7 linked regions of the Kluyveromyces lactis genome follow. The protein of the gene in region 4 purifies or fractionates together with the protein of the main gene of each other region. This does not show direct contact. Links are inferred from orthologs where the notes say so. Each region holds a gene or a part of one and is shown on either strand. Other genes may lie near its edges. The genes, in order: RSA4, NOC2, SPB4, NOG1, BRX1, RRP15 and FPR3.

Region 1 (4,434 bases), on a different chromosome or scaffold from region 4:
ATTTACATACGCATCTCCTGTAAGTTTTAAAGTCATGGGAATAAGCTCAAAAGGTGGTAGCCAGAGCCCTCTTCACGTGCTTCGTGGCATCACCTTCAATGATAATTTTATTTGATTGAAGTATCACCTTCCAGTACTTCTTTGGAATGAAAGGAAGCCTTTCTTGTAGATCGTTTCTTAGCTGCACAGGATCCCCTTGAATCTTTCTGATTTCGGTGACAATCTTATTGCTGTTTTTGTAGTCAGTGTACACAGGTAAATTTCCGTTAATACTTCTTTGAATGAAATATGTTTTCTTCCCAAATGGAGCGGCTCCCACTACTTCCTCGGGGCTTACGTCTTCAAGTTTTGGGAATACTGTAAAAGGACTTTGACTGTCAAATAAAGCACTGAGTTCGGCACTTTCGGCATCAGATAATGGTCCCAATTTGTCCATTTCTGATTTAAGTTCATTTAAAAGCTCAATTTCTGAGTTTTCCTGTTGTTGTGGTTGCTGTGCTTGGGTTGATTGTAGTCTAGTACAAATCCGAAATGATCTTGGGCTCATAGCCGCAAAACTTCTTGTAACTCTTGTAAGCATTATTAACTAGCCGTTGTATTATTAGTAGGCTGTTGTGTGGTTATGCAGGTTTTCCCGGTGTACACCTTTCTTACTATATAGATAACTTATCGATTTCCTATGGTAAATGCCGGCTGAATCGTTCTTCATCTTTTCAACTATGCTTGAAGCTTTAATTTTTCAAAATTTTCAGCTTGTAAGAAGAAGGGACACCTGTGCACCTCATAATAAATGTAAAAGAAGCTATAACATACATAAGGCAGTCTATAATTTAATCATGCTAATTATTCAGATGCAGTGGATCCACTCAATGAGTCCATATCCTGACCATTTTATCTTTCCCACCGCTACATACACGTTTACCGTCTACAGACCAATCTACAGTGTAGACTTCATCTTGATGACCGGGTAGATCGACGGACAGTTTTCTAGTTTTGACATCCCAGACTTTTAAAGTGGTATCTTTGGAACAAGAAACGAGTAGTCTACAGTCGCTTGACCAAGCTACTTGGTAGACACTCGCTACATGTCCTCTAAAGGTGGATAGGAATTTACCATCCCTTCCATCCCATAATTTAATGGAGTTGTCAAAGGATGCAGAAACAATGTAACGGCCATCTGGCGAAAATGCAACGTGGTTGACGAGCTTTTGGTGGCCGGTCATTCTGGTAATAGGTTTAGTAGACTTCAAGGGGTTCCACAGATACATAGTAAAATCGTCACTGGCAGTTACCATCAGTTCTTCGAAGTCACCTTTTCTTTTAGCAACTTTTTCGTAATTTTTCAGAGCCTTCTGTTGGGCTTCTTCAGGTGAAGCAGGAGTTTCGCCCTTGTGATCGAACGCACCGAGTCTTAATGCATAATCTGTTGAAAGTGAAAGATGATTAACCCAATGGGCGTGTGATTTTAGGATATTGATACATTTACCGTTCAAATTCATGTCCCAGCATCTGATTGTTTTATCGTGAGAACCACTGTATAGAACATTTTTTCCACCCCACTTGACACAGGAAACAGAAGACGTATGGCCACATAAGGTTAAAAGGCAAACTCTTCTTGTTGTATCCCAGATTTTGATAGTTCCATCCTTGGATGCAGTTGCTAATCTCGGTTTGTCACCAGGTTTGACAAGATGGATTGGTTCCCAAGATAAGGAGGTAATCCATTTCGAGTGACCTCTTAAAGCATCACCATAAGGCTTACCTTTGCTTGATTCCCATAATCTAATTGTGTTGTCCATAGAACCTGTGGCGATTAATTCACCATCTGGAGACCAGGAACAACATAGGACCCAGTTGTGATGGCCTTGTAACGTGCACATACGCGTTTGAGTGTCACAATCCCAGATACATGCAGTATTGTCACCAGCACCGGTAACCATCCTGGAGCTTGTATTTGGAGCAAATGCAGAACACAAAATTGTCGAGCCATGACCAGCAATTGCAGAAGACGACCGAGTTACTGGTTTTACTTTGAAGATAGCTCTTGGGGTATACACTAGAGTCAAAAAATCTTCGGTAGTTTTCAAACCTGGTTTTAAAATGGATTGATATAGATTATCTCTAATATCTACCATTTCCTCATCTGCATCCTTCTTTTTGTTGCTAACTAAACAGCTAAACGTGTATGGAACAGGATCTGCCGAGTCTCCATTTAACTGATTCAACAATTCCTCCAGTTGCTGCTCCGAAATACCACCTGGAACCCTTAGAGAACCTCCAACAGTTTCACCACTGTCAAAAGCTTGGAATTTAATGAGAACATTTGGAAGGTCTTTGGGAATAAGGTCAACTCCACGTTCAGCTTGAGCTTCTCTTCTTTGCTTCTTTGAAGGCGGTGGGAGTAAGGTTGCCATGTTTCGTTTGGATTGCTTGGCCTAACAAATTCAGAGAATTATTTTGGGCTCGTTTAATTACCTAAAAACTTCTTTCGAGAAAAGACCTGTGATTATTGCTGGAATACTAATATCGTTCACCAGAACCTTCTCCTTTTTAGGGAAGTCGACTTGGTAGTTGAAGCTCATCTCATCTCATCTCATCGGCATCTCAAAAGATTTTCTTGAACTTAAGAATTTCTTTTAGTTCACCACTTCCGGGTAATATAAATCTTTATTATGTTGAAACTATGCTCTGAATACCTTATGGGGAGCATCAGGCACAAAAAATTCCTAGACTGCAATTTACTTACTGGCAAGCAACTCACAGATAACGGAAAGTGCATGTTACATTGATACTATACGGATCCGGCATTGTTTAAAAAAAAGTCAAACAAAAGTTCCTATTATTATTATATATACATACAATACTTATACAAAAAAAAAATCTATGGTTACAATTGTTACATATGATCGTCATGGGGAGGAAACTTTTATGTCTATCAGAACTAGTTATGAGTTTCATTATTAAAAGATTCTGCATTGCCACCAAATGCAATGTTACGTATTTGAGAAATCCAGGGATCAAGTAACAATTCCATTGCAGTTGCTCTTTTATTGGCATCTTGTATTAAGCATCTGCTTATGAACTTTCTACCCGCAGATGAAATTTCAGACTTGGTTGGGAATTGCGGAAGGTGACCAGCTGCAACATGATACATGATAGCCCATTCATTGTCTAAGTTAGCCCATGGACGTCTACCGGTCACCATTTCCAGTACAACACAACCTAAAGACCATATATCATCGGATCCGAATTTTCCGTGTCCTTGACCAGTCACCGTTTCTGGTGCCATATACATCGGTGTTCCGATCATATCTTTCCCGCCTGTAGATTTGTTATTGGCATCCAGTGATATCCTCTTTGATCCGTTCTTTGCAATGAGTTTTGCGGCACCAAAATCTACATATTTGATAACGCCATTACGATCCAATAAGATATTCTCCGGTTTGATATCTCTGTGCACAACTCCAGATTGGTGCAAACATGCCAATCCCTCAAGTAATTGTAGTGTGTAAACTTGAGTTACCATTTCATCTTCAATCCGGCCATGTTCGAGTAAACTGGCTAAGGAGGAACCCTCGCAGAATTCCATAAAGATATTAACCTTGTCTCTGTGAACTTCCACACCATAGTACTGAACAATATTCGGGTGATTTAAGATCTCCATGACGCGCATTTCTTCTTTGAGAGATGGGAAAATTTGCTTCATGGATTTAGCATCTTGGATTTTGATCTCTTTTACCGCTAAAATATCACCAGTATCTAGGTTAACAGCGGAATATACAGTACCAAAGCTACCACTTCCGATAAAGCTACGCTTTTGCCATCTAATAGAAAGGTTAGATATTGAAGAAGCAAGAGATTTCAACAATTTGCTTTGATTATCGGTATCATCAATAACTTTACCAACAGAATAATGCCTTTTGACTTTGACAACCTTTTCCATATCTGTTATTGCATTCATACGCATCTCTGAATTAACAGCCAAAATCATATCATCGTCAGCATCATCGATATCAAAGTTTGGTCTTGTTTGTTGAGCATCAATCCTTTCAGCTTCTCTGGATCTTGCCCCTGTGATGTCGAAGTGAGATATTAACAATGACATACATCTAGCAATCTTCTCTTTCAACAACTTGAATTCCTTCTCCTCAATCCCCAAAATATTCCATCCGTTGGTCATACGCATAGCAAATTCCATTGCTGGGACACACCATCTAAATGTTTCTGGATTGGCCGGATCACATTCATCAAGAACAAAAGTTAACCAGTCTATGCTGATCTGAATCATAAGGCGAATAATAATTGCCTTAGTTTCCGGTGTAGCGACATTTAATAGAAGGAAGTTTTTTGCAAAATCTTTCACGAACAAGTATGCTATGTTGAAAAAGACACTCTCGTTAGTCTGTAAAGTGACATTCTTCTGTACGCTGCCGA
Region 2 (4,953 bases), on a different chromosome or scaffold from region 4:
CTTCTTTCCTTAGTTCATTCTCAAATTTCTGGAGTTCGTTCTGTTTCATTTCTTCTGCTTCTCTCACTTTCTCATCCATCCGTTCCCTGATTTCTTCCTTTTCTTCAATTGGCAAATGAAAGAAGTCCGGAGATTCCAAGATCTCTTCCATTTGTTGTTGAATGCCGTCATCGTATTGATACTCAACTTGGCGCTTTCTTGCCTCTATTTCTTTCCGCTTATACTCTTGATAACCGCCCATTCGATCAATTTTAACCAATATGGTATTCAACATGTAAGACATCCCACATTGACATATAGACCTCCATTTATTTATTAATTCGATAGTCTTGAGTTCGTTGTCGTAAGTTTGCATTATTTTCACTGCCCTTTTCAAAGCAAACTCTTTCTTCGTAAGATCTCGTATTTGTCGATCAAGATCGTTCTCTAACCTCCGGATCTCCTTTAAAAGTAACACACTACCCGTAGATCTTTCTTCAGGGTTTCTGCAAGATAACTTGGGCAAGATATCACTAAATGAATCATTCTCTTGAACTAAGGTTGTTTCACTATCACCTTCAAAATTCATGACATTCGACATAACGCCTGTAATGAGTACTGGTATAAGAATTATTCCACTTGGTCAAGTTATGCCTACCGCAGATTGTACTCCCGAGCTTTGTATTCTGAATGTAATGTTGAGTATACATGTTTAAAATAATTTACATAATGTAATTTCTATTTTCATGAAATTTACCGCCGATGTCTTTGACAAGGAGGCAATCCAATATAAGATGGTCGAAGACATAGGATTACCAATGAATTTAAAATTGAAGAAAGTTTGAACTTATCATACAATCATTTGATTATTCATCTGCTTCAGATTCAGCATCATCCATTACTATGTCTTGGGCTCCGTCAGAAATATTTTCTTCTTCTTCATCATCGTCAGATTCCAAGGATTCTCTTAAGAGTCTGGCCTTTTCTTCCTTAACCTCATTTTGGATAGCAACCCAGGAACCAAGAGGAGTATCTTTCCACGATATTTCATTTAAGAATTTTTCTACTTCTGTTCTGTTGTTTGGTCCGAAGTCTACATCTGATCTCTTCTTTGTAATGAATTGAGCGTTTTGGTTGATTTTATCTACCACGTTTTGCAACATCTTGTTAAACTTTACATTCTCAGAATTCTTGATATAACGACGTAATGAGATAACGGCAAGCGTTGTTAATTCTGGGAATGAAACGCTTCTGGAGTATAGAACAAAGTACTCACCTAGCAAATCTACAAATTGCTCAGCTAGCCCGTCTTGGTATATTTTTGTCCCCAAGTATGCTTGTGTACACTTGATGTTATGATCAAAGTCAAATGCAGGTAACGTTGACTTTCTAGGTTTCTTTGTGAATGCAGTAGAGGAGAGAATCTCAGATAATAATGGGTAAACTGGAATGAAGATACCAGTGTTTTGAGATAATCTGATCAAGGATCTGATCAAATAAAATCTCAATGGGAAAAATTGTGCTGTTGGAATCAATCTAATGACACCAATGGTAACTTGGACTAGTGGGTAAATCAATTGTCTAAGAGGGGATTCGTGGCCGTTTTCCTTTTCTGGGTTACATTGGATGGATATAACACGAGACCAGAAGTCCAAAGAGTGACAGAACTGCCAGTTATATACAATCTTGTAAGCACTTGATGGGTCCACCTTTGAGGACCTCTTAGTTGTGGCATTGATACTGTTTCTCAAGTGAATGGCTAGTTGTCTGATATATTCGAAACCCGATTGATAACTTATAACGTCATCAATACCGAAAAGTTCAGCAGCAGAGTTCTTTTGGAAATTGATTAGAGGCATGTTTCTGATGTTAGTTTTACGACAACTTTTAATGAAAGTAGAATACGTGGACTTCAATACAACTTCTAATAAAGCTTTCTTATATTCACGAGAGGCATTGTTCAAAAACGCGAATGTGGCAATTTGAGTTTCAACGTCTCCAGTAGTGGACCAAACTTCGACGACTTGAGAAATTAATTCTTTTAGTAATCTTCTAAATGAAATAAAGTATGGTAATAGCTCATAGGTAGAATGCAAAATCATTGAAGCGACGTCTGTGTTTGTGATGTCACTTAGGAGAACGATAAGAGATGGAACGTGCGATTTCAAAACAGAGGACAATTTTGTAACATTTTTATTTGATGGGAGAGTTCTGGTTTCATTCTTACTGACCCTATAAGGTGTCAATTTTTGGACGGCTTTTGGCATATCCACAAGGGCAACGAACATTAACTCGTGGAAGGCTTTTTCATCAAGAACTGTGAACTTGTAATCGTCTACATTTTCCTCGTTGTTCATGTTCACAGCAGCTTTAAAAGCTGAAACCACACTTCTGATAGTTTTGAAAGATGGGCTATTTTTTAAATCCTTCTTCCATTTATTTACGAGCTTTATGTCGACGGCAATTTTGCTATCTTTTTCCTCCTTCTTGGACTTTGATAAATCAGGTTCTTTCAGTTCTTCTTCTTCACCCACTTGCCCTTCTTCGTCATCTGATATTTCATCTAGAGGATTGGTAGATTTGAAAGACAAAAGATCTGGTTCGTTCTCTGCCAAATATTTGTAGAAATCAGGATCCTTCTTTGCCAAATCTTCCATATCCATTTTAACATCTTCATCTTCTTCGGCAGAAGACTCTGAATCATTATCTTTCACCTTTGATGCTTTTTCGGTTTCTTTAGCCATTTTCTTTGACATTTTTGGAATATCGAACCCATTGTCGAAGAACTCTTCAACCTTCATGTCGTTGAAGACTTCTTCCTTAGCGGACTTCTTCAACTTTTGATCTTCTTTGGTCAACGCAGCTGCATTCTTTTCTTCTTCTGTCTTATTACCCCTACGACCGGCGGTTCTCTTAGAATGATCTTTTAACTTCTTTCTATGGTCCAACGTATGCTTCAAGTGTTTCGTCTGAAACTTTTTAGTAGCTTTTGAAACTTTACCCATTGTGTAATTCTTGATCCCTTTATCAATAGGTAACAGGTCCCAAGATTATGCCTTTGATCAACAATATGATTTCAAGAAGATTATCTAGAGCGACTACTGGTTAAGTTGTTAGAGCTGCGTTAAAGTTTCTCTATATCTCTTCTTGGGGCATCTCATCTCATCTCATCTCATCTCATCTCATCGGATTGAATTTTGGTTTGGATATTTGGAAAACTTTTCATGGCGTTTCTTTTTGTATCCGGGTAATGGCATCGCCTTGACATCGATGAATAGTGCAAGTAATATGGTAATTGACATGCTTGGAAAGGTATCGACAAAAGATGCAACAAACTGCAAACAGAATGTCGAGAGATGCAACAGTTTTGAGCCGTTATTGATAAGAGTACTGAGGTATATGCATCAGAAAATAGTAGTAGTATTACCTTTTATGAAATCACGGCTCCAAGCTTTTAAGCAGTTTACTCGGTTTGTATCATGCAAAAGCTGTGGTGTTGAGTTGCAATCCAAGAATCCTTCTGTGACAGGCTACTATAAGCCTCCTCGCGCTGTCAGGAAAGATGCTGGCACCATTGAAGATTTGAAGTATTTAATGTTCACACAAGAACTTCAGCTAAAAAAACATGAAATCGGGCTACTTGATCCAGACACCGATCCAGATTATAAAGAACCTATTCCCAAAAGATTGGTTTGTAAAAGATGTGTCGATGCTATAAGTCATAACAGGTACAACTCATCTGATTTTCCAATTCATTCTTTCAACGATATAAAGGGCGCTTTGCCGCATGCTGCAAACGTATACCACGTTGTGTCTTTGTCTGACTTTCCCTTGTCATTAGACAAAACTATCCTGGCAGAAAAGAATAATAGAAACTATTTACTACTTTCAAAGGCTGATCAGATCACATACAAGTCATCAATGCTACCACATAAAGGGAGTGCTTTTTTTGCGGAATTTTGTAGACGTCATATAGGCGTACATGTTAAGAAAGTAGTATTGTTCTCTAACCCAAGAAATTGGAATATTCCATCAGTGATAAATGCTTTGGCTAAAAGATGCTATTTATTGGGTAATCCTAACGTTGGGAAAACGTCTCTCATTAATTCTTTGCTCCATGAAAAATCAACAAGTTTCCAAGCTCAACTTGATAAGAGAGGCAACGTTATTGGTCCTCCAAAAGGCCACGAACAAATACAAAGTACTCGCCGTAGGGCCATCTTCAATGAAGGTGGAGTATCACATATTCCCAACTTTACCAGAACCATGCAAACTTATTTGATAGAAGATAAAGTTGTGAACGATTTACCAGGGTATACAATGGATCCTACTAAAGTATCCGATCTAGCGAATTATATCGAGAAGGAAACGCTTGATAACATAAGGAAAACCTCAAAGTTTAAGATTGATAAACTGATAAAACAAAATTACACCTCTTTGACGGGTTCAAAAACTGGTAAATGCCTGTCTTTTGGAGGAATTTTTCATCTTGTTCCACCAAATTCCACTATAAATCAGGTGGTTAATTACATTCCTCTTCCGGAGCATGAGTTTTCAAATGTCGAAAAGGCTGTTAGCTTATCTCTAGAGGTGCTACAGTCAGAAAATCATTCACTTCGCCAATTTTTTGCTCTCAAGAAACCATTTACTGACATTAAGATGTTTGATAGGCACGTAATTCCTCCATTTAATGGAGCAATCGAAATTGTTCTAAAAGATATCGGATATTTTCAAGTTAAACCTACTGGAAAATATGGTTTCAATGGTCTTTATGAACTCTGGGTCCCTAAAGGTATCAGGGTATGCATTAGAGAACCGTTATCAAAATTGATATCAAAAAGCTATGAAAAGTATATTGAAAGTGGAGACATCGCCGATGTTTGTCCAACCGATCGTCCACTAATTTCAGACACCTATATTATGAACCATACCGAAGAAGATACATTTGCCAGAATGAGAGAAATGTACATCAAT
Region 3 (4,569 bases), about 880 kb from region 4:
AAATTGGTTTTCTGGGCATCTTTTCTATATCCAACATTTCTTTGATTAGATTGGGATCTTCAAGACCTTGGCCAACGAGAAATAGATTAGCCACCATACACCTCACTTGATGCCACAAGAAAGCTGAACCTACCAAGTCAAAGCAGTACATGTCTTCGCTGACGTGCATGATATTTGAACTTTTAATTGTCCTCTTATAATTTGTAATCTGTTTTGAACCATCTAATTTGCAAAAGTTTCTGAAATCATGCTCACCTTCATAGTGTTTGGCTGCCAGTTGCATCCTTTCAAGATCCAAACCCTCTGAGCTGAACAAGTATTTGTAATGTCGACTTTTACAGCTGAATCTGGCATCAAAACCTTTTGGTGGCCGTAGGCAAACTGCAGATACTCTGATATCTTCTGGTAAAATCTGGTTTAAAATATTAACATATTGAATCTCCTTGTCGTCATAGCTGGGATCAAGCTGCTCTTCTGCAGTGAGATTCGAACGAACTCTCAATGAAATTACTTGATTCATGGCACTAACGCCTCTGTCTGTTCTTCCACATCTACTAAACTTATATTCTTGAGGAACCATGGACGGAACAAGTTTGCATTTATTCATGGTCTCTAATATCGTACCCTCGACAGTAGGTAAAGGAGTCGCATCTTTTTGAATTGCCAATCCGTTATAGTTCCATCCCAAATAAGCAAACTTGAAGGCGACAAACCGTGTGTTGTATTTGGAGAAGTCGAATTCCCTTGATTTCCTAGGTTTCTTGACGTTCTTTCTTCTCTCTGCTTCAACAGCAGCGTCCGCAGATCGCTTTTTTACCTCAGCCACGGTATCTGAGTTATTTCCTTTAGCATCACTACCATTTTCACTAGTATTTTCCAGCTGTAGCAATCGCTCAATCAACTGTTCCCTGGTCCAATTCTTATAAGCAGACTGGTCAGTGGACATTGCTGACACAGTGCCTTTACCATCTAGTTTGAAAAGTTTTGATAAAAATCCCATCCCAGTATATGTAGTCTTGAAAGAATTATATCACAAGGCTAATATAACTTCATAGAAGTTTAACAAATAGATCATATCAAACAAATTTGAATACAAATTGTTATGAATGGAACAACCATCGAGAACAACGCCGCATCAATGCCAATCAGCATTAAATGCAAGTTTGTACAGATTTAATGGAATTTTTTTTCTTTTCTATTGGGATGGCAGCTGGAAAGAAAAAAAATAAGTTCAAGCTCATCTCATCTCATCGGGAAAATGTATCCAGATTAAATCAGTGTGAACATATGCATACATTTGAAATCCAGGAGTAAGATTTGACCAACAAGGTATAAACTCACCACTCCAAAGCCTAGTCTAAAGTTTCGAACTGATACAAAATGTCGAAGTCGTTATCGTGGGACGATTTGAAATGCGAGATACAACCATGGATTAGAACGGCTATAGAATCGATGGGGTTTGAGACCATGACGCCAGTTCAAGCCTCAACTATTCCGTTGTTCTCTGGTAACAAGGATGTCGTGGTAGAATCTGTTACAGGATCTGGTAAGACTATAGCGTTCGTGATTCCAATTTTAGAAAGGTTGATAAAAGAAGAAGCCAATTCGGCCAAATTCAAGAAATCACATTTCCATTCGTTAATCATTTCACCAACCAGGGAATTAGCCAGTCAGATTCATGATGTGATAGAAGACTTTCTGAAGTATTATCCAGATAATCTGTACCCAATACGGTCGCAATTACTCGTCGGAACAAGTAGCGCTAGTGTTCGAGACGATATCAATAGTTTTACAGATAACAGACCCCAAATACTAGTTGGTACTCCTGGGAGAGTCCTAGATTTTTTGCAGAAGACTAATGTAAAGACTGCTTCCTGTGGTACCGTCGTGTTAGATGAAGCTGATAAGTTATTGGATTTGAATTTCCAGAAAGATGTAGAAACCATTTTAAAGATGTTGCCGAAGCAAAGAAGAACAGGGTTGTTTTCGGCAACAATCGAAAGTGCGGGTGCGCAAATCTTCAAAACAGGTATGAGAAATCCAGTGAAAGTTGCTGTGAAGTCTAACTCGAGCGCACCTTCATCTCTTTCGATAAACTATATCGTCATTCCACCTAAGGATAAATTACAACTATTGTTGACTCTACTCAACAACTACAGATTCAAGAAATGCATAGTTTACTTCCCGACATGTATCTCGGTCACATATTTTTACGCATTCATAAACCATTTGAAAGAGCTTAATTTGATTCAGGATGATCTAAAACTCTTCTCACTACACGGAAAGCTACAGACGCAATCGAGAATGAAGACGCTTGACAGTTTCACTTCTAACTTGACCGATGCCGTACTATTCACCACAGATGTTGCTGCTAGAGGGATAGACATACCAGATGTTGATCTAGTTATCCAACTTGATCCACCAACAGATGCAGATATATTCATTCACAGATGTGGTAGAACAGGTAGGGCTAATAGGATTGGTAAGGCACTTGTGTTTTTAAATGAAGGTAGAGAAGAAGATTACGTACCATTCCTGGAAGTGAAAAACGTCAAACTAGAAGAAGAATCTGTGGAACTGAAAGGCGTAGAGAATCTAACCAAAATATTCCACGATTGGATTTTACACGATAGAGCAAGATTCGATCACAGCGTAAGAGCATACGTTGCATTTATAAAATACTACTCAAAGCATACTGCATCATCGATCTTCAGATTCCACTCCATGGATTTCATCGGCGTTGCGAACTTTTACGGGTTGTTACGTCTGCCACGTATGCCCGAAATAACCAGGTATGCTGCCGACCAAATTCCGGAGGAAGGTTGGTTGGTATCACCACCAGTGAATTTAGACACATTTGCTTACTTAGATAAACAAAAGGAGAAGGCGAGGTTACAAGAATTACAAAACCTCAAGCAAATAAGCGATAAAAAGAAACTGAAAAGTGAGCTAAAGAAGAAGAACATGGCATGGTCCGATAAGACACTAACTAAAGAAGCCAAAGCTGAAAGAAGAGCAGCTATGGCCATCAAGAGGAAGGCAATTGAAGAGAAACTTCTGCGGGGCGATGAGGAATCAGAAGATGAAGTTGAGCAAGACTGGAAAGACCTTGTAAGACAAAACAAGAAAAAGAAGCATAACTCCATGCAAGGAAGTTTCGATGATTTATAGTCAATTACATATCGTAGATAAATCTATTATAATATAAATGTGCTTGTTTCATTCGAGTCCCCGTCATATAACAATGTGTTTTCAACCGGTACATATTGATGTGTCAATAATTTCACGCATTCTTGTGATACCATTGCACCAAGAATTGATGCCATCGCAGGGCTGACAAACGTTGTATCATGTCTATCGTTTTGTAGCGATAGCAACTTATTGAACTTCGGTTTTTCACTTATAGTTCTAGTTGCCGATGAGAGGCTACCCATTTTAATTGCATCCAAATGTTTTAAGTTCTCGAGCATTTTATCTATGAGTGGTTCAGGTATCAAACTATAATTCTCCTTTGCTAGAATGCGCATGATTTCTGATTTATCCTTGGCAGCTTTACGTTGATATACTGCTTTCTGCGCGTTGAATAGTTTAGTTGAGGATTCCATATCTGGAATGAATGCGGACACAGGTAAATCGCCTCTCAAATCGTAAAATATTCTGATGCATCGTACAAATTGGTATACCCATCGATTAATTGTAGAATTAGGTTCAGCATGAAAACTATTCAAGATGTTGGTCAAATTGTGAGGAAATGGTCCTGATTGATCGTATAACAGGAATGAGGACCTCTCTGCTTCCACAAAGTTCAAATCATTGGTCAAGGGTCCAGAGAGTATAGAATCGTGAAGTTCGATGAACTCTGCCCTCACTGATTTTCTATTGATAGGAATATTCTTTGACTTTAATGATTTTCCCACATTGTACAGTAGAACGGAATAAGGCAAGGAGGATACCTCTTCCTGTGACATATTTTTTACATCGAATGATTCGTGATATTCTGCTAGTTCAGGCCACATACGATTGAGTCTTAAATCGAAAGTGAAATGTCCATGAGAATCAATGACACAATGAGGTTCACTGCCTATAAGACGAACAAATCCCAAGTTATCGTTGGTGGATGCCATTATCAGAGGAACTGCTGAGAGTTTCATGACACGTTGTAACAACGGACCAGCCGTGCACAAACATATGACAATAGAGAAAGAGTTCCATAACTTATGTTGTGAATCAATTGGAACTGCATTCTCGTTCCAAATATGGAACGTAACATCTGGATTCATACTTTCTAACGCATCAAAACCTAAAATATCCGAGTTTGACTTGTTCACAAAATCTGATCCATTAGACGAGCCAAAAACTACAGTAATCTCATGAATACCCATGAGAGCCAAACTCTTGACACATTCTCGCATCAACAATGTCTGATTATCGTCTACAACGCACACATGAGACTGAGAAAGTAAATCCTGGCCTGAATGGCCCCAGATCATCAACTGTCGATCATAACGGTCATCCAAACCACCATTTATCTGATCAGCCATAACCTGTACCAACGCCCTTGGTCCTTGA
Region 4 (4,624 bases):
TAAAACATATGATCTCTCGACCTATCACGACGATGAGAAGAATGCCTTTGTAGAAGGTTACTCATTTGAACATCTGTTAAAGTTGTACTTGACTCCAACTGATGTGATGAAATTTCAAACGGGGCATCGTTGCTCAACTCATCTTCATATTTAGAGCTTCTTCTATTAGAATTCTGCGATATTTCCTTCTGTGACATGTTGCAGAAGTTTGTAATATTGTGGTGCGGCCGTTCGCTCAGTTATAATACCTATACTAGGATTGGAAGCGAGTGGTATCCTGTTGGCATTATTTTTCTAACTGTTTGCAACTTCTGCTTTCATTACTGTTTTCATTACTGTTGCTGCGTTTTTCATTTTCTTACTTGACCTTAAATCAATTCATGCAAAATAAAACTTTAAAAGAAGGTGATTTCTAGTGTCAGAAACCAAAGATGTCACTACTGATATTAGTATGAGTACATATATCTATATTTATATATGTTTGTATGTTTATATGTGATATTAGTATGTGATTCTCACCGAAAGAATGAACATACACCTTCTGTGATAGTTAAATTGCTAATGTACAGTCTGGGATGGAAGTCCGTTACATTGAAGTTATTTTTGCTTCTTTGCAACTGATCTATGCTTTCTCTTTTCTTTCTTCAGGAAGCTATAGCATTCCTTTTCACCAAATCCATATAGCGGTTTGAAACTTTCTATAACACCGCAATCTTCGAACAAGTTTGGGAAGAGCCAGAACCCACCCTTCTCGCTAACTGCAGCTAATGACAACAAGTAAACTATCAATCTCACAATTGCAATACCAAAGAATACACCGATAAGTGCCAATGCTGCAATGGATAAGTAGTAAGTACCACGTTTCATATATGGAGGCCATAATGGGTAACACACGAATGCTAGCACACCGACTATGATACCGATCACAGTCAAGTAATCATAAATTGATTTTGGATTATAAGACCAGACGTAATATTCATCTGGTTGTAGAGTCGCTTTATTCGATAATAATAAGTTTGGATATGATTTGTTTGGCTTTAGACCATGTTCTTTACATTCTGCAGAATGTAATTTAACCGCTGGTACGACAAATTGGGCCTTGATTAAGGAAACAAAAATGTTACGAGCATCTTCATCGCTTGTCACAGCGGGGTACAATTCGGGTTGTTTTTTGGACTTTGCCTTATATTTATCACTTTTCAAAGCTCTAACAAATCTTTTATAACGGAAGAAGTCAACTAAACGCGATTGGAACAATCCTTGTCTTTGCTTCAAGTCGCTATGAGTCCTGAGTAGATTGGCAATGGCTATCGTAGATTGTGGGCTTGGTTCCGACATAGTAACGAAACAAATCTATATTTGAAGAGAAAAATTCAAAAAAAAAAGGCGGATAAGGCAATTCTACCGGAAATTAGGCAATTATCAGGTAGTGATTAGAAAGTTATAATGAATCTAGAGATTGGACTCAAGCTGTATTCTTTCAGATCAAAATCTCATTGATATTTCTGTATATATTGAAAGTTGAAACGTAAACCGTAAATAAAATGTTCACATACATTTTAACAGTAAAATATATTGTTACCCCGACAGTCTCAAAAGAAAGTGCTTTAGTCACGTGACATAACCAATGTGTATGCCTTTAACGGTCAATTCTGAGATCCATACGAAAAAGAAATCCTGAAAGCACAATTTTTTTTTTCTTTTCAAAGGTTTGCAGTAGTGGGAAAATTTTCCAAACGGCAAGCTCATCTCATCTCATCTCATCTCATTGTGCATTCGAAGTGATAGACAGAGCTTGATTATCAGTGTGACATCCGTTTGACAGGTAGTTTGAATAGATTGGAAGTTTGTTCAAACAACTAAGCATAGCTTAACTGCATTATTGCTAGTTTAATTGTTTTTTGTTGTCCCCGTGTGTGCGTGTATCCCAAAGTTTACGTCAAATCAATTAAGCAACAATGCAATTATCCTGGAAAGATATTCCGACCGTGGCTCCTGCCAATGACTTGTTGGACATTGTGTTGAACAGAACTCAAAGAAAGACACCTACTGTTATTAGACCAGGTTTCAATATCACTCGTATCAGAGCGTTTTACATGAGAAAGGTGAAGTTCACCGGTGAAGGGTTCGTGGAAAAATTTGATGATATTTTGAAAGGTTTCCCTAATATTAACGACGTGCATCCTTTCCATAGGGATTTGATGGATACTTTGTATGAAAAGAATCATTTCAAAGTTTCTTTGGCTGCTGTGAGTCGTGCTAAGACATTGGTCGAACAAGTTGAAAGAGATTACACAAGATTGTTAAAATTCGGTCAATCTCTTTTCCAATGTAAACAATTGAAGAGAGCCGCTCTTGGTAGAATGGCTACCATTGTGAAGAAGTTGAAGGATCCTTTAGTGTATTTGGAACAAGTTAGACAACATTTGGGTAGAATGCCATCCATCGACCCAAACACCAGAACTTTGTTGATTTGCGGTTATCCAAATGTGGGTAAATCCTCTTTCTTGAGATGTATCACTAAGGCTGATGTCGAAGTGCAACCTTATGCTTTCACCACCAAGTCGCTATATGTGGGTCATTTTGATTATAAATACTTGAGATTCCAAGCGATTGATACTCCAGGTATCTTGGATAGACCTACGGATGAAATGAACAACGTCGAAATGCAATCCATTTATGCTATTGCTCATTTGCGTTCTACTGTTATGTACTTCATGGATCTATCAGAACAGTGTGGTTTCTCTATTGAAGCTCAAGTCAAATTATTCCATTCGATCAAACCATTGTTTGCCAATAAATCCGTCATGGTCGTCATTAACAAGACTGATATCATTAAACCTGAAGATTTAGACGAAGAACGTAAGAAACTTTTGGATACTGTTTTGGAAGTTCCAGGTGTTGAAATCATGACCACTTCTTGTCATGAAGAAGATAACGTTATGGCTGTTAGAAACAAGGCTTGTGAAAAGTTGTTGGCTTCCAGAATTGAAAACAAGCTAAAATCTCAAGCTAGAATCACTAACGTCTTAAACAAGATCCACGTCGCTCAACCTCAAAAGCGTGATGATGGTATTGACAGAACTCCATATATTCCAGAAGCCATCGCTAAGATGAAGAAATATGATCCAGAAGATCCAAACAGAAGAAAATTGGCTAAAGAAATTGAAATCGAAAACGGTGGGGCCGGTGTATACAACGTTAATTTGAAGGACAAGTATCTATTGGAAGACGATGAATGGAAGAACGATGTCATGCCAGAAATCTTAGATGGTAAGAACGTTTATGACTTCTTGGATCCAGAAATCGCAATCAAATTACAAGCTTTAGAGGAAGAAGAAGAAAGATTAGAATCTGAAGGCTTCTATGAATCCGACGAAGAAGAAACTTACGAAGGATTTGATGCTGACGAAATCTCTGAGATCAGAGAAAAGGCAGAATGGATTAGAGATAGACAAAAGAAGATGATCAATGCTTCAAGAAACAGAAAGGCATTGAAGAACCGTGGTACCATGCCTCGTTCTAAATTGGCAAAGACATATGGTGACATGGAGAAGCACATGTCTTCTTTAGGTCACGATATGACTGCTTTGCAAGATAAGCAAAGAGTCGCTGCTGAAAAGAACAGATATGAGCAAACTGGTGCTGACGTGGTATACGGTGATCAAGAAGATTCTGCTCCAGCTGGTAAGCTAAGACAGACAGATAGATTGACAGACGGTGTTGCTGATGGTTCAATGAGATCGAAGGCTGAAAGAATGGCCAAATTAGAAAGAAGAGAAAGAAACAGAATGGCCAGAGCCGGTGAATCTGACAGACATGCTACTGCCTCTCTACCAAAACATTTGTTCTCAGGTAAGCGTGGTGTTGGTAAGACTGATTTCCGTTAAACTGTCTGTTCTTCCTTCCTTTCCATCACTGGTGATTTCGAACATATATTATCGTGTTGCCAATTTCTTTTCTATCTCTATTGAACTATATATATTAGTCACTACTTTCATTTATTTGTCTGCATTGGGTGGGTTAAATTTAATTATTACTCCTTTATTTGTAAAATAGTTACGTACTCTGTAAAATTATAAGAGTTATACCTTTGATTTGCTTTTCCTTGACCAAATAACCAACATCCCTCTGACCTCAGTAACAATTTTATCTTTGAAAGTTATTGACTAATCTTGAAGAATAAAAAGGATGAAAATTGTAGGATCTAAATAAAATAGAAAAAAAGGAAACACTGACATAAATATTTCACCAAAACAATCTCAGTATACCTGGAATATTTAACCGTCGACCAACATCATTTTGCTTGAGTTATATTTGATTGCCTCTATTATTTCTCTATCGGTTTATCAGGCGACAGTTTTTTTTTTCTCTCTCCTATGTGCCCTTAGTACAGGGCAAGAAAAAAAAGGACGGCTTCACAACACACATCTAGGTAGGCCTCTTTCACAAAAAATTGACTCTCAGTAACATATAAGCCATGAGATTTTAGCACTTGAAAGTACGGGTGACATAAAAGCTCCAATAAAACTCTACAAAACGATATATGCTCTTTGTATATGTCAATTGTAAAAGGTGCTTTCCGTCTGAAAAGTGTTCGTATGATTTTCGAAGAAAAATTCCC
Region 5 (3,503 bases), about 570 kb from region 4:
TGGCCGTTTTCTAATCTTTTTCACCTTCCGCGTCATCTTAGAAAGCATGCTCGAAGAGCCATGAAAATGTCAAGAATAACTCACCTTCTAAGAGCCGTTGAATTGTCGTATTGAGACCATTATGTGTCCATTCTATTGTCTTCCGTATCCAGTTGACAGAATTCAGCAGTAAACATACGTTAAACTGTGTGTACTCTCTGGTTTTTACCAGTTTTATACGAGCTGCTCTTACATGATTGGTCCAGTAAACTGTGTGAGGTGTATGGGTGTGTTGAAGAATATGCTACGTCTGTTTCTGAGCGATTTACTCTTAAAAAGCGTGTAAAGCAGGATTTCCTTTCTCAAAGCTGAAAAATTTCAAAGTTTCGAATTCTTCTCACTAGAAAGAACAAGGCGGTTTTGAGCGAACTTTTGCACTGGATCAGATGCGTTATTAGTGGTATCCTATACACCTTTGTTCGAGATTCACTCTGTTAGAATATAGACCAAGAAAATAATTTGATATACGATGAGTGCTGCATACACAATTTTGGGTAGAACTGTTCAACCACATCAATTGGCCCTAGGGACTTTAGGTGCTGTATTATTGTTGGTTATTCCAAACCCATTCAAGTCTAAGCAACCAGCCAAGCCATTATACTCTACTTCCTCTAAGGGTGAGGAAGATTTCATCAAGGCTTACTTGGAAAAGCATACTGCCAACGCTGAAAAGCACTAAAGATAAAAGTCAGGACATTTTTACTTCCTTATTAATTCTACCCACTTGACTGTTCAATTCACGTTTCCTGAAAATTATACAGTATGATTTGTTATTACTACGCATAACATCTTCGTATTTGGGGAATAGAAGAATGCAATGGCATTGGGCAAGTAAAATATTAATAAATCTATTAAAATTCAAACAAATGATAAAAAAAACATTTCAAACAGCACACTGTGGTTCACACCAAATGTAAAAACGTTTTCCCCATGACGTTTCATGACGCTTCAAGTTTAACTGGTATTCTGGCCCCCCAAGTTAACTAAATAAATTAAATATTCATGTACGACTTTAACGTATAGTATAGTTAGGAATAAAACGAAAAATTATATTATCAAAAACAGCCCATTCAAAAGCATATATATAGGAGTATACATATGTACAAGTCTGAGCAGGAAGAACGCCGTTCTCCTAAGTTGACAATATATAAATCATGATTTTTTCTAGAGTTCTGGATTGTACTTTAATCTTTGAACAATGCATCGTTGGATAATGGATCTACAGCCAAGACACTTTCTCTCTTCTTTAGTTTCCTTTCAACAGCAGCTTCGGCTCTGGTCTTAGCTTCCTTGGCAGCCTGTTGTTTAATTTGAGATCTAACGAAGTTTGGCGATACGTATTGTCTGTTTTCGTAGATCTTTGGACCACCAAATGAACCTTCAAGGATCAAAATCGGTGTCATCACGAAACGTGGGCCAATTTCAACTAACGACGTTTCATCTTCTTCTTTATCCTCATATTCAACGTTGTTCCTAGCTTCATGCGAGATCTCATACGTTCTTACCCAGATCTTTTCGTCAACTATACTGAAAGACATGATATGGTCAATGAATGGCTTGGACTTTCTAGCTTGAGGTGGTACACCGAAGTTATGGATAAAAAGTTCTTTAATTAAACGGTAGTGCGGTTCAGAATCAAATCTACCATCAAATGACAATATTGGTCTGGATCCCTTCAAACAGTTGCCAGTGAAGTTTAATTCGTCCATGGTATGTAGGTTCTGCAAATAAAACTTGATTGTTGGTCCATTTGGTGGCTTTGATAGCCATAGGTACAAATCCTGGTGCTTTCTAGCTTCAAAGAATATAATGTTATTACAGTTGTACAATTCCGCAATCTCATTCAATTGTCCTAGATCCTTCTTCGTGTCCAACTTAGGTTCCTTTCTCGAATGTGGTAGAAGACTGTTCAAATCCTGAACCAAATGACGATGTCTATAAGTAACACCTCTGGACGTAATAAGTAAGGTACGTTGCTTATTCATGAACTGTTTCTCATTACTGTCACTGTTAGCCGCATTATTTTTGTTCTTCTTACCGTCTTTATCCTTACGAGACAAAGTCTTGAAAATACTCGACATTATAGAAGGATTTGCTTAGCAGTTCTTGGCTTTTTCTTCCTTCCAACTACTCAAGTGTAATACAATAATCTCAAAGTGTTTAGACCGACGATGTATAGATTGGAAGGATCAGGACAACCTTGTTCAATACCTCTTCTCATCTCATCTCATCTCATCTCATCTCATCTCATCGCCTTTTCTAACTTTTCAAAAATTTTCAATGTACCGAAAAAGAAACTAAGGCTCATCAGTGATGATTTAAAATAGAAAAGGATAGTTTCTCGAAAAGAAAATGTTCGTATCGTCTGCCAACTGGCTTCTATCAGATTCAACGCGGGTGGGGATTGTATGGTGAGGTCTTGCGTTTATATTTCAAGCAGTAAGAGCGCTGATGCCCTTGTTAGGCTGTGCCGTTTACATTTATGGATACACATACAGTTATAGTTTATTATCCGGGTAATCAAGACTGAAAAATTACGATATTGGCTTAATTCAGCATTCAAACTTCTAATGAACAACCTCATACGCACGTCGTTCGTAGAACAACCCGGTATGTCTGGCAGTAACGGTGTTCGTTGCTGTTTGATCTGTTAGATTTGATATCGACCAACACGAAGAGTGGAAACTGTTGATATGAACTCTGAAGATCATCAGCTTTTTCAGCTATTAGATAGGGAACTGTTTAAGAAAGCTTCACAGTTTGTTGCATCATTGCAGAAACGGTACCCATCCGCCACTTATTACAAAGTGTTAGAGCAATATGTCAAGTACAGGCAATCTCCTGCGAAATATAGTTTTGAAAATGGGTTAAAGTTGATCTTGGATGCCAAATCTCCTCCAAGCGATGCGAAATCGCTATCAATGTGCCATCGATTTTTGTTGGAATTAGGTTTTGACACCACCAGTGCATTGGAACCTTATGAAAGAGCAATGATGAAATACGGTAATTCGGAGACATGTTATGATTGGTTCTTGGAGTCATTGAGGGATTTAAATTGGAGACATTTGAGTAAGAGTAGTTTCCAGATGCCACGAGTCAATGAAAAATCGAAATCGAGATTGTTCCAATTCTGGAACAGTATTGCTACTGTAGTATGGTTTCAGTTGGATAAAGATAACATTAACGAAAGGGAATTGGATCTTTTACCTAAGTTGACATATAAATTGACAAGCGATTTGAAACCTTTTGAGAATGAGCAAGAGTTGATCGTTTTCTGTAAAGTTTGTGAATTGTTTGAGGATAAATCACAGGAGATCGTGGACGAGATCCTCAAGTTTTGGAAACATGGTACTTACTTAGACCTTTATTTGAAAAACTTCCTTATGGGCCATTTGGTGAAATTAGACGATTATAAACTCATTTGGAAACATGGAATCTCGTTATTGAATAACCTTGACGATTAT
Region 6 (3,565 bases), on a different chromosome or scaffold from region 4:
GTAAAAGTTCGTTTTTGGAATTAGTGATATACTCATTGAGTTCTTTCCGTTGACTGATAGTTTGCTCTATTTCTTCTTCGACAGTGTCTATTTGCACAGTAATAGATTCCTTGAATACATTCTTCTCATTAAGCTTCTCTTCCAATTTTGCTAGCTCCTTTTCTAAAATGTTACGTTTGTCTTTAGATTGATCCAATTCATTAGTCATGTCATTTTCTATATCTTGACTTAACTTGTTGATATCCTTAATCATGGACTGATTAGCTTCTGTGATATTCTTCCATTCCGTCTGAAACTCTACCATCCACTTCTCTTTAAGATTTGAGTATTTCTTATCAAGTTCTTCCTTTAATTGGTTAATGACATTGTCATTATTATTTACCTCATCGTTTAAGTTATGTATGTCCTTCAATAAATGTTCCTTTTCTTGTTTAAACTTTTGAATCTTTTCAAATTCAATCTGCTGCACTTCAAATTTGAATTTCGACTCTGTTTCATTCATTTCACAGTGGTATTTTCCCTCTATCTTCTTTATTTCTAGATCAAATCCGTTTCTCATAAACTCTAACTTCAATTCATGATCTTGATCCATGCTATTCAATTCATTCTGCTTTAACCCGATTTGTCGTACTTTCACTTGTTTCTCCTCTTTCAAATTGTTCATTTTGAACTCTACAGTTTCCACTTTGCTTTTCAACGAGTTCATCTCATCCTGTGCGGTATTCAACTTGATCTTTTTTCTGGACAACTCTTCTTGCAATCTATTCAGTTCTTTCAGGTTTTCTTTGTAAAAGAATGTCATATGAGTTGAGCTTCTATTTTCAGTACTGGGCGTGAGAGACCTTCTTCTGTTTATACTCTGTACATCTTCTGGATTCAATCTTATCGACTGCCTTGGTTTGTATTTTGGTGAACTTGAACCCTGCTGGGTTGGAGAAGGTATATTAGAACCGTCCTTCGATGAACATCTTTCTGGCGTTGACGGCGGTCCATTCATATTCCGTTTGATTATCAGCCAACCAGTTTAATTTAGTCAAACCCACTACCTTATTACACGTCTTTTCCAAAGCGGTACTGGTTTATATACGTTCTTCAATTGCTATGTCTCCTTTGGTGTTTCAAGATTGTTTTGTTTTCGGTTGATCTTATTATTTGTTTACATCTTTACTAGTATATGTGACATATTTCGAAACTGAACCGGCTTCAGTACACAACAAACCTTCTTTGGGTAGCTTGAACAAGTAGAGGAACCATTACAGATACACCACACTCCAATAAACCCAACAGTCGGGGAACCACAGGCTAGTAAGAGAGTTCAGCTTCAAGTTTCTTATGACGGCGGCTCCACCAACGTCAAATTTGCAGTGGTGTATGGGTGTGTTGATAGAATGTATTTCTTTTTGTTAGTGAACATGCCAAAAAAAATTTCAGTGAAGCACAACTCATCTCATCGCTTTCAAGACTGTATCTGGGCCTTTAGGATCCATCATTGAATTCACACTATCTCAATAGAAGGTTAACTTGCCGGTAGATTGTGCAGTGGACAGCTTTGTATTGTATAGCCGCCTGAAAATACTATGAGTAGCAAGGGTAAAGTGACAATACCTGTCACCAAAAAGAGCAAGTTGAATGACAAGTCTGCAAAGATCAGGGCTCAAACGAAAGTCAAAGAGAATGAAGTATCACAATTGGCTGATGAAGTAGATTCTGATGTGGATTCTGAAGGCAGTACAGGTTCCGAAATAGATAACGATGAAATGGATCTAAATGAAGTGTCGAGTGATGACGCCAGTGATGAAGACAGTGACGATGAAGATGTGGTGAACCAACCAGATGACGATGACTTCCCAAGAAAGAAGAAGTCTTCCAAATCCAAACACGATGATGGATCATCCACATTTTCCAGCGCGTTAACCAATATTTTATCATCGCATTTGAAAGCATACGACCGTAAAGATCCCATTATGGCTAGGAATAAGAAAGTTTTAAAGCAAAATGAAGCAGATAAGTTAGAGCAAAAGGCTAAGAGAGCTATACTCACAGAGAAGAAACAACTACTCAATAAGACTAGAAAGAAAGATATTATACCTGTTGTGGCTGCAGACGCAAACTCGGATGAAATTAGAGAAATTCTTGAGAAGGAACGTAAACTAAGAAAGATTGCCCAGAAAGGTGTTGTGAAGTTATTCAATGCAATTCTCTCTACTCAGGTTAAGACTGAAAAGGAAATCAATGACTCATTGGGTGGTGTGAAGAACCGTTCAGAGAGAAAAGAGTTGATAACGGAGGTTTCCAAGGAGAAGTTCTTTGATTTGGTGAAAACTGCTGGTGACAGTTGAAAAGAGGAAGTTCTATATGATAGAGGGAATCATCTGCATTTATTAAAGCGCAAAACTATGTACATATATAGGTAATCCCAAAGACTGTATAATAGACTAATAATATTATTAATTACAACTTTATCGAAAAAAGATCAGATCAGGTCAGATGAGGGATCAAAATCCTAACCCTCCATTTGAATATGCCATTGGTTTAATATCTGGATGTGGTGAAGCAGAGAAAGTTTCTATTACCAAGTCGCTGTCGATAGATGATTTCTTTTCAGATTTTGTGTTTGGAACAACATGAATGATTGCACCGAGGTTGCCACCGGCGTCACAGTAGTTAGGAGCACTGAAAACAGTGACCAATTGATTCTCATGCTCAAATTCGTAACCGCCTTGTCTAACTTCATGAGACCTGAAGATTCGCTTTAAATTATTCTGTTTCAAGAACTTTCTAGTAATGTCAGGCCCAAACGCATTACTTAAGCCACGAGGAGATGGTCCAAATCCATCCGGAGCCTGTGGATCCGCCCATAATAACTCCATAAATGTTCCCTCTCTTGGTGGTTGGTGGAATCTATCAATTTTCTTCATATCTTCTACAGTGGCAGAAGTATCACTTGGCAAACCACCATGCACGACCAGGTATGAACTATTGATGACAGTGGCTAATGGTAGAGATTCGAAGCTTTGTGAGAAAAGATCGAAAATGCGCTGGGAGTACTTGTATTTGCATTCGTCTTCAAACCCGTACACTTTATTCATGCTGTTGGTTTCATGATTACCTCTGTTCAAGTAAATGTTCTGTGGATACACGATTTTCAAAGAATAGAATAAAATGGCCACTTCACAAGACCATGATCCACGGTCTACGAAATCACCATTGAATAAATATACATTGGAGCCGCCTACTTTCCCATAACTTTTGAAGATGTTCAGAACATCATAAAATTGACCATGCGTGTCACCACATACAGAAATTCTTGTATCCGGCTTTTCTCTGTTATCAAGTTCAACAACACTGTTTTCTTGCTTGAACAAATAGTCTGCATGAGAAATGATCGCTGCAACGTAAGCCTTTGGAAGCTTTTTACCTTCTAGGAAAATCTCATTAATCATATAAGAAATGAATTCCTGGTTCATATTGTTAACTCTGACACCAGCATTGGCCCCAGAATCTGACTTCACTTGTTCGAATTCCAAGGTTTTACCATCATATTTGAGGAGATCGGCATTTGCAT
Region 7 (3,981 bases), on a different chromosome or scaffold from region 4:
AATACACAACCTCTTTGTTCGATGCTGTATCGGATTATCTTCACAACGCACTCTCCAAAAATATTCCTTCTGTTAAGTACGATCGTTTAATCGTCAGCTGTACCACTTTCTGAAAAAAAAAGTGCTTTTTTTTCAAATGCTAATAAATTTTCAGTAATGAGATGATGATCTCTTGGTACTTTAAACGACGCGTAAAATATTGTTAGAAAAATTCAGTGCAAATACTGATAAGCGAAAACACCGAAACTGTTGGTTGTAGGAAAAGCTCTGACGCGATAAAATGTTTCGACTCGGCTGCTGGGTATGAATAGATTAGCCACGAGCACTAAATTAGTAAGTAGCAGAGAATTACACCTAATTTTTCTTTTTTTTTGTATTTTATAAGTAACGTGACCTAATACTGTTATGTCACCTAGATATTCCAGTTTATTGTTCAGTTCGATATGTTACACTGGTAACTACTGACGTCGACTGTTCCAGTTAGAGATTAACTATGTGCACAATTGGAGCGGGTTTTTTGTTCCCTTCCTTTATTGTTTTTGTTTGCTGTTTTAATCTTCAGCGGCTAGCTCACAAAAATTTCCTGTTTCAGAATAGAATTATTACAAATTGCACGCAAAACGGTAGTTATAGTCTCTTTCAATTAACCTTCAGTTCACTAATCGCCTTAACAGGTTGCAGTCAATAAGGATGTAAATCAGAATGTCCGTAAATTATTGTTGTTTGACCAACTTCTGGTGTCTTCGTCCTTTCCTTCTCCTTAAAATGTGGTTTGTTTTAGGGCTAGTTTAGTTTCAAGTTCGTTGAGATTTTATAAAAAATGAGAAGTAAGCCTATCTAAGATATCAAAACCAAGAAATTTGTGAGTGAGAGCATTTTCTCCATTGGGAACGTCAACTGTCACCTTTCAGAATGTTATTTTTTTGATTTAAAGTAAGTATTTATGAAGGAGTAATATGTATGCCGATTATATATCCTTTTCCATTTATTTCAAAGAGACCAACTTAACGTCGAAAGTCAATTCGGAGTTAGCTGGAATACCTGGAAGAGCTTGTTTACCGTACGCATATGGAGCAGGGATGACGATTCTACGTTCACCACCGACGGCCATACCGGCAACACCGATATCCCAACCTTTGATGACTTCACCACGGCCCAAGTTGAAAACGAATGGTTTACCGCTGGTGTTCTTGTCAAAGACCTTACCATTCTTTAGCTTACCAATGTATCTCATACCGACCTTGGAGCCCTTCTTGCAAGCCTTACCCTTACCAGTGACACGGTCTTCGATGATGATACCACCTTCAAGCACCTTGGTCTTTGGCTTTTCTTTCTTTTCTTCCTTCTTTTCTTCTTTCTTGGTTGGTCCTTCTTCTAGGTCTTTCTTGAATTCAACCTTCTTTTCTTTCTTAGCCTTCTTGTTCTTTTTAGTTTCTTCAACTAGCTTTTGTTCCTCTTCCTCTTCCTCTTCCTCTTCCTCTTCCTCTTCTGGTTCTGGTTGCTTTCTCTTGTTGTTCTTCTTAGACTTAGATTGTTCTTTTTCGACAAGCTCTTGGATCTTAGCTTCAACGTCGCTAGCATCTTCTAACTCTTCCAGATCAGCTTCTTCATCCGGGGTTAGATAGTCGTCTTCATCTTCATCGTAGCTTTCATCGTCTTCTTCATCGTCATCTTCGTCATCGTAACCTGGTGCATCGAATGGGTGCTTGACATAGTTACCGGTTAGAGAAACACGGTAAGAACCAGTAACAATGAATTGAACTTCTTCTTCTGGAGCAATTACAATATCCAAAGATTGTTGATATTGAGTCTTTGGTGACAAAGTCGCTAGGACGAATTCTTGGAATTCGTCATCGGTGTCAATTTCGATAAGTTCTTCATCGCCTTCATCTTCATCTTCCTCTTCCTCTTCCTCTTCCTCTTCTTGCTTCTTGGACTTACCCTTACCCTTACCCTTCTTAGACTTTGACTTTTCCTCCTCTTCTTCTTCCTCTTCGGAAATGTCTAATTCATCTTCGTCGTAATCACCCAACAAACCACCAGCATCATCTTCATCGTCGTAGTCTGGGTTTCTCTTGATAATTCTCAAAGTAGATGGGTTCTTCTCATCATCCAAAGCTTCTGGATCGATAGCAGCCATGGTGATACGCACGGTAACAGGCGTGGTAACATCAATGGCCGGGGTTGGAGTGTATGGCTCGATGTTCAAATTGTAAGCAGCTAAAGGTAATAGGTCAGACATTGTTATGCTATTCAGTTAGAATGAGAGTTTTCTTAATCTGTGGGTATATGTCTACAAAAAAATATACGAACTAAACCTCTATGAAAAAGGTTCTTCCACTCAAGAAGACTCTACCTAATGTAATTCATCTCATCTCATCTCTCTTATATGGCGTCCATCTCTTATTTCTTTCACAACCTTAACTATTCCAAATTCTGAAAATTTTCCAAAAGAAACGAACTTTATGTAGAGAAGATTCGACGTTTCTTTTCTGCACGTGATGAGTTTTATCGACCTCCGCTTAGGGTACAAGACATATTGAAATACATCGTTCGAAAGGGTCGTCAGACAGGGTACACACGTTGGTTATAGTGTTAACTGGTGTGTCTGCAAAACAGTCATGAATATATAGCAGAGACTCTTAGGCAAAAGTAGTTCAAACCAATTGTTACAATCAATTGTCCTTATAGAATAAGGTTGTGGGGATGACGACGTTGCAAACACTAGAAAGGGATTTAATACACCCTTAAGATATAAAAGTTATGTTAATATTATATAACAAAGTAGCTTAAAGTTTTGAATTGTTTTTCGCTTTCTTAGAATTTCAACAAGTGAGGTCTGTCACCGTTCTTCAAAGAGAAAGTAGCAGCCAAGTATTGCTTCAACAATGGGGTCTTCTTGATTTCAGCCAACAAAGCCTTATCGATGTTCTTTTGGTCTTCGATTCTTTCAGCCTTGATTTCCTTCTTTGGTTGGTCTTCGTTGAAGAAGTTGGCTTCAGCTCTTTGCTTTCTTGACAACTTTTCTCTGGAGAAGTAAGCGACGTTGAACTTTTCAGTGTTAACACCTTCCAAGGAGACTCTGGTAGAGGTAGCAATGACGTAACGAGCGTTGACTCTTCTCAATGGAACACCGTTAACCTTGAATGGACCGGAAACCAACAAGGTGTTGTCTTCCAAGTGCTTCAAGTAGACAACTCTCTTACCTCTGAAACGACCAGCCAACAAAATCAAGACGGTACCTGGGACCAAGGAGGCACGCAACTTTTGTGGTCTAGCGGCCTTTCTGGTTTGCTTTGGAGCTGGGACTTCTTCAGCTGGATACCACTTTTGAGCCTGTATTGAAAATTGAATTGAAAAATTCGTTGTTAGTAAAACTGAAAACAATATTTTATCGAGTTATGCCCGTGTATAGAGAAGGAAACCCACAGTTTCAATTCCATTATCTCACATGAGTTCGGCTGTATGTAACAAAACTAAGAGTAATGGATGAAAACATGTTAACTTCTTCTCCATAAAATAGGCAATAACGAAAAACCCATAGAAAATATTAAAAGAACAGGAGATGGATTAGCATGATGTTAGTCATCTATGATACAAATATCCATAAACCAACACTGAATATTTAAAGTATCACATATTTTTATTTCTTATAGTTCCGACCGTATATTTCTTCCAGTCTGCGAACCTTGGTTTGTGTACTTGTTTAAATTGTTCCCATAATTCTCAGTCGTGAGATCCGTTAAATATATTCCTTTATCTCATGAATCCAGTTATCATATGAAGTCTCTTCCTGCAATCGTTAAAACTTCGAATTAAGATATCCCACTTGTACATTACTGGAATCGAACAGCATCTGGTCCAGACTGTTCTCATTTATGCTATGGTGTTAATTCATTCATTACATTTTATATTGCCAATAGATGTCGCCAATTACTATATTTCGTCGTCATGATCGCTGAGTCAATCCTTTTCTTTCGT

The links.
Region 1: the proteins of NOG1 (region 4) and RSA4 purify together in Saccharomyces cerevisiae (affinity purification with mass spectrometry; 4 studies listed by BioGRID, with this or other methods). This does not show direct contact. The link is inferred for Kluyveromyces lactis from reciprocal best matches to the Saccharomyces cerevisiae genes NOG1 and RSA4.
Region 2: the proteins of NOG1 (region 4) and NOC2 purify together in Saccharomyces cerevisiae (affinity purification with mass spectrometry; 8 studies listed by BioGRID, with this or other methods). This does not show direct contact. The link is inferred for Kluyveromyces lactis from reciprocal best matches to the Saccharomyces cerevisiae genes NOG1 and NOC2.
Region 3: the proteins of NOG1 (region 4) and SPB4 purify together in Saccharomyces cerevisiae (affinity purification with mass spectrometry; 8 studies listed by BioGRID). This does not show direct contact. The link is inferred for Kluyveromyces lactis from reciprocal best matches to the Saccharomyces cerevisiae genes NOG1 and SPB4.
Region 5: the proteins of NOG1 (region 4) and BRX1 purify together in Saccharomyces cerevisiae (affinity purification with mass spectrometry; 5 studies listed by BioGRID). This does not show direct contact. The link is inferred for Kluyveromyces lactis from reciprocal best matches to the Saccharomyces cerevisiae genes NOG1 and BRX1.
Region 6: the proteins of NOG1 (region 4) and RRP15 purify together in Saccharomyces cerevisiae (affinity purification with mass spectrometry; 3 studies listed by BioGRID). This does not show direct contact. The link is inferred for Kluyveromyces lactis from reciprocal best matches to the Saccharomyces cerevisiae genes NOG1 and RRP15.
Region 7: the proteins of NOG1 (region 4) and FPR3 purify together in Saccharomyces cerevisiae (affinity purification with mass spectrometry; 3 studies listed by BioGRID). This does not show direct contact. The link is inferred for Kluyveromyces lactis from reciprocal best matches to the Saccharomyces cerevisiae genes NOG1 and FPR3.

The regions. Positions count from the first base shown.
Region 1 is NC_006039.1:747,717-752,150, reverse strand, and holds RSA4 (Rsa4p), read right to left. Parts: upstream 2,415-4,434; coding exon 867-2,414; downstream 1-866. Other genes in the region: IMG2 (mitochondrial 54S ribosomal protein mL49), read right to left, coding at 47-580; mitogen-activated protein kinase kinase kinase SSK2, read right to left, coding at 2,942-4,434. UniProt on the Saccharomyces cerevisiae protein: Involved in ribosome biogenesis. Required for processing and efficient intra-nuclear transport of pre-60S ribosomal subunits.
Region 2 is NC_006042.1:101,920-106,872, forward strand, and holds NOC2 (mRNA-binding ribosome synthesis protein NOC2), read right to left. Parts: upstream 2,985-4,953; coding exon 846-2,984; downstream 1-845. Other genes in the region: MEI5 (Mei5p), read right to left, coding at 1-580; GEP3 (Gep3p), read left to right, coding at 3,250-4,953. UniProt on the Saccharomyces cerevisiae protein: Involved in the intranuclear transport of ribosomal precursors.
Region 3 is NC_006041.1:1,267,521-1,272,089, forward strand, and holds SPB4 (ATP-dependent RNA helicase SPB4), read left to right. Parts: upstream 1-1,380; coding exon 1,381-3,171; downstream 3,172-4,569. Other genes in the region: pseudouridine synthase DEG1, read right to left, coding at 1-1,000; ULA1 (Ula1p), read right to left, coding at 3,198-4,569. UniProt on the Saccharomyces cerevisiae protein: ATP-binding RNA helicase involved in the biogenesis of 60S ribosomal subunits. Binds 90S pre-ribosomal particles and dissociates from pre-60S ribosomal particles after processing of 27SB pre-rRNA.
Region 4 is NC_006041.1:2,150,025-2,154,648, reverse strand, and holds NOG1 (putative GTPase NOG1), read left to right. Parts: upstream 1-1,958; coding exon 1,959-3,890; downstream 3,891-4,624. Other genes in the region: FZO1 (mitofusin), read right to left, coding at 1-197; Sec63 complex subunit SEC62, read right to left, coding at 598-1,338. UniProt on the Saccharomyces cerevisiae protein: Involved in the biogenesis of the 60S ribosomal subunit.
Region 5 is NC_006041.1:1,577,351-1,580,853, reverse strand, and holds BRX1 (ribosome biogenesis protein BRX1), read right to left. Parts: upstream 2,121-3,503; coding exon 1,224-2,120; downstream 1-1,223. Other genes in the region: MDM20 (Mdm20p), read left to right, coding at 2,733-3,503. UniProt on the Saccharomyces cerevisiae protein: Required for biogenesis of the 60S ribosomal subunit.
Region 6 is NC_006038.1:956,417-959,981, reverse strand, and holds RRP15 (rRNA-processing protein RRP15), read left to right. Parts: upstream 1-1,577; coding exon 1,578-2,339; downstream 2,340-3,565. Other genes in the region: KAR3 (Kar3p), read right to left, coding at 1-997; PPT1 (protein serine/threonine phosphatase), read right to left, coding at 2,496-3,565. UniProt on the Saccharomyces cerevisiae protein: Constituent of pre-60S ribosomal particles. Required for large subunit rRNA maturation, in particular processing of the 27S pre-rRNA at the A3 and B1 sites to yield 5.8S and 25S rRNA.
Region 7 is NC_006038.1:420,589-424,569, forward strand, and holds FPR3 (peptidylprolyl isomerase FPR3), read right to left. Parts: upstream 2,243-3,981; coding exon 986-2,242; downstream 1-985. Other genes in the region: RPL6A (60S ribosomal protein eL6), read right to left, coding at 2,818-3,336. UniProt on the Saccharomyces cerevisiae protein: Proline isomerase that belongs to an abundant class of enzymes that catalyze the cis-trans isomerization of X-Pro peptide bonds and can accelerate the refolding of proline-containing polypeptides. Specifically binds nuclear localization sequences.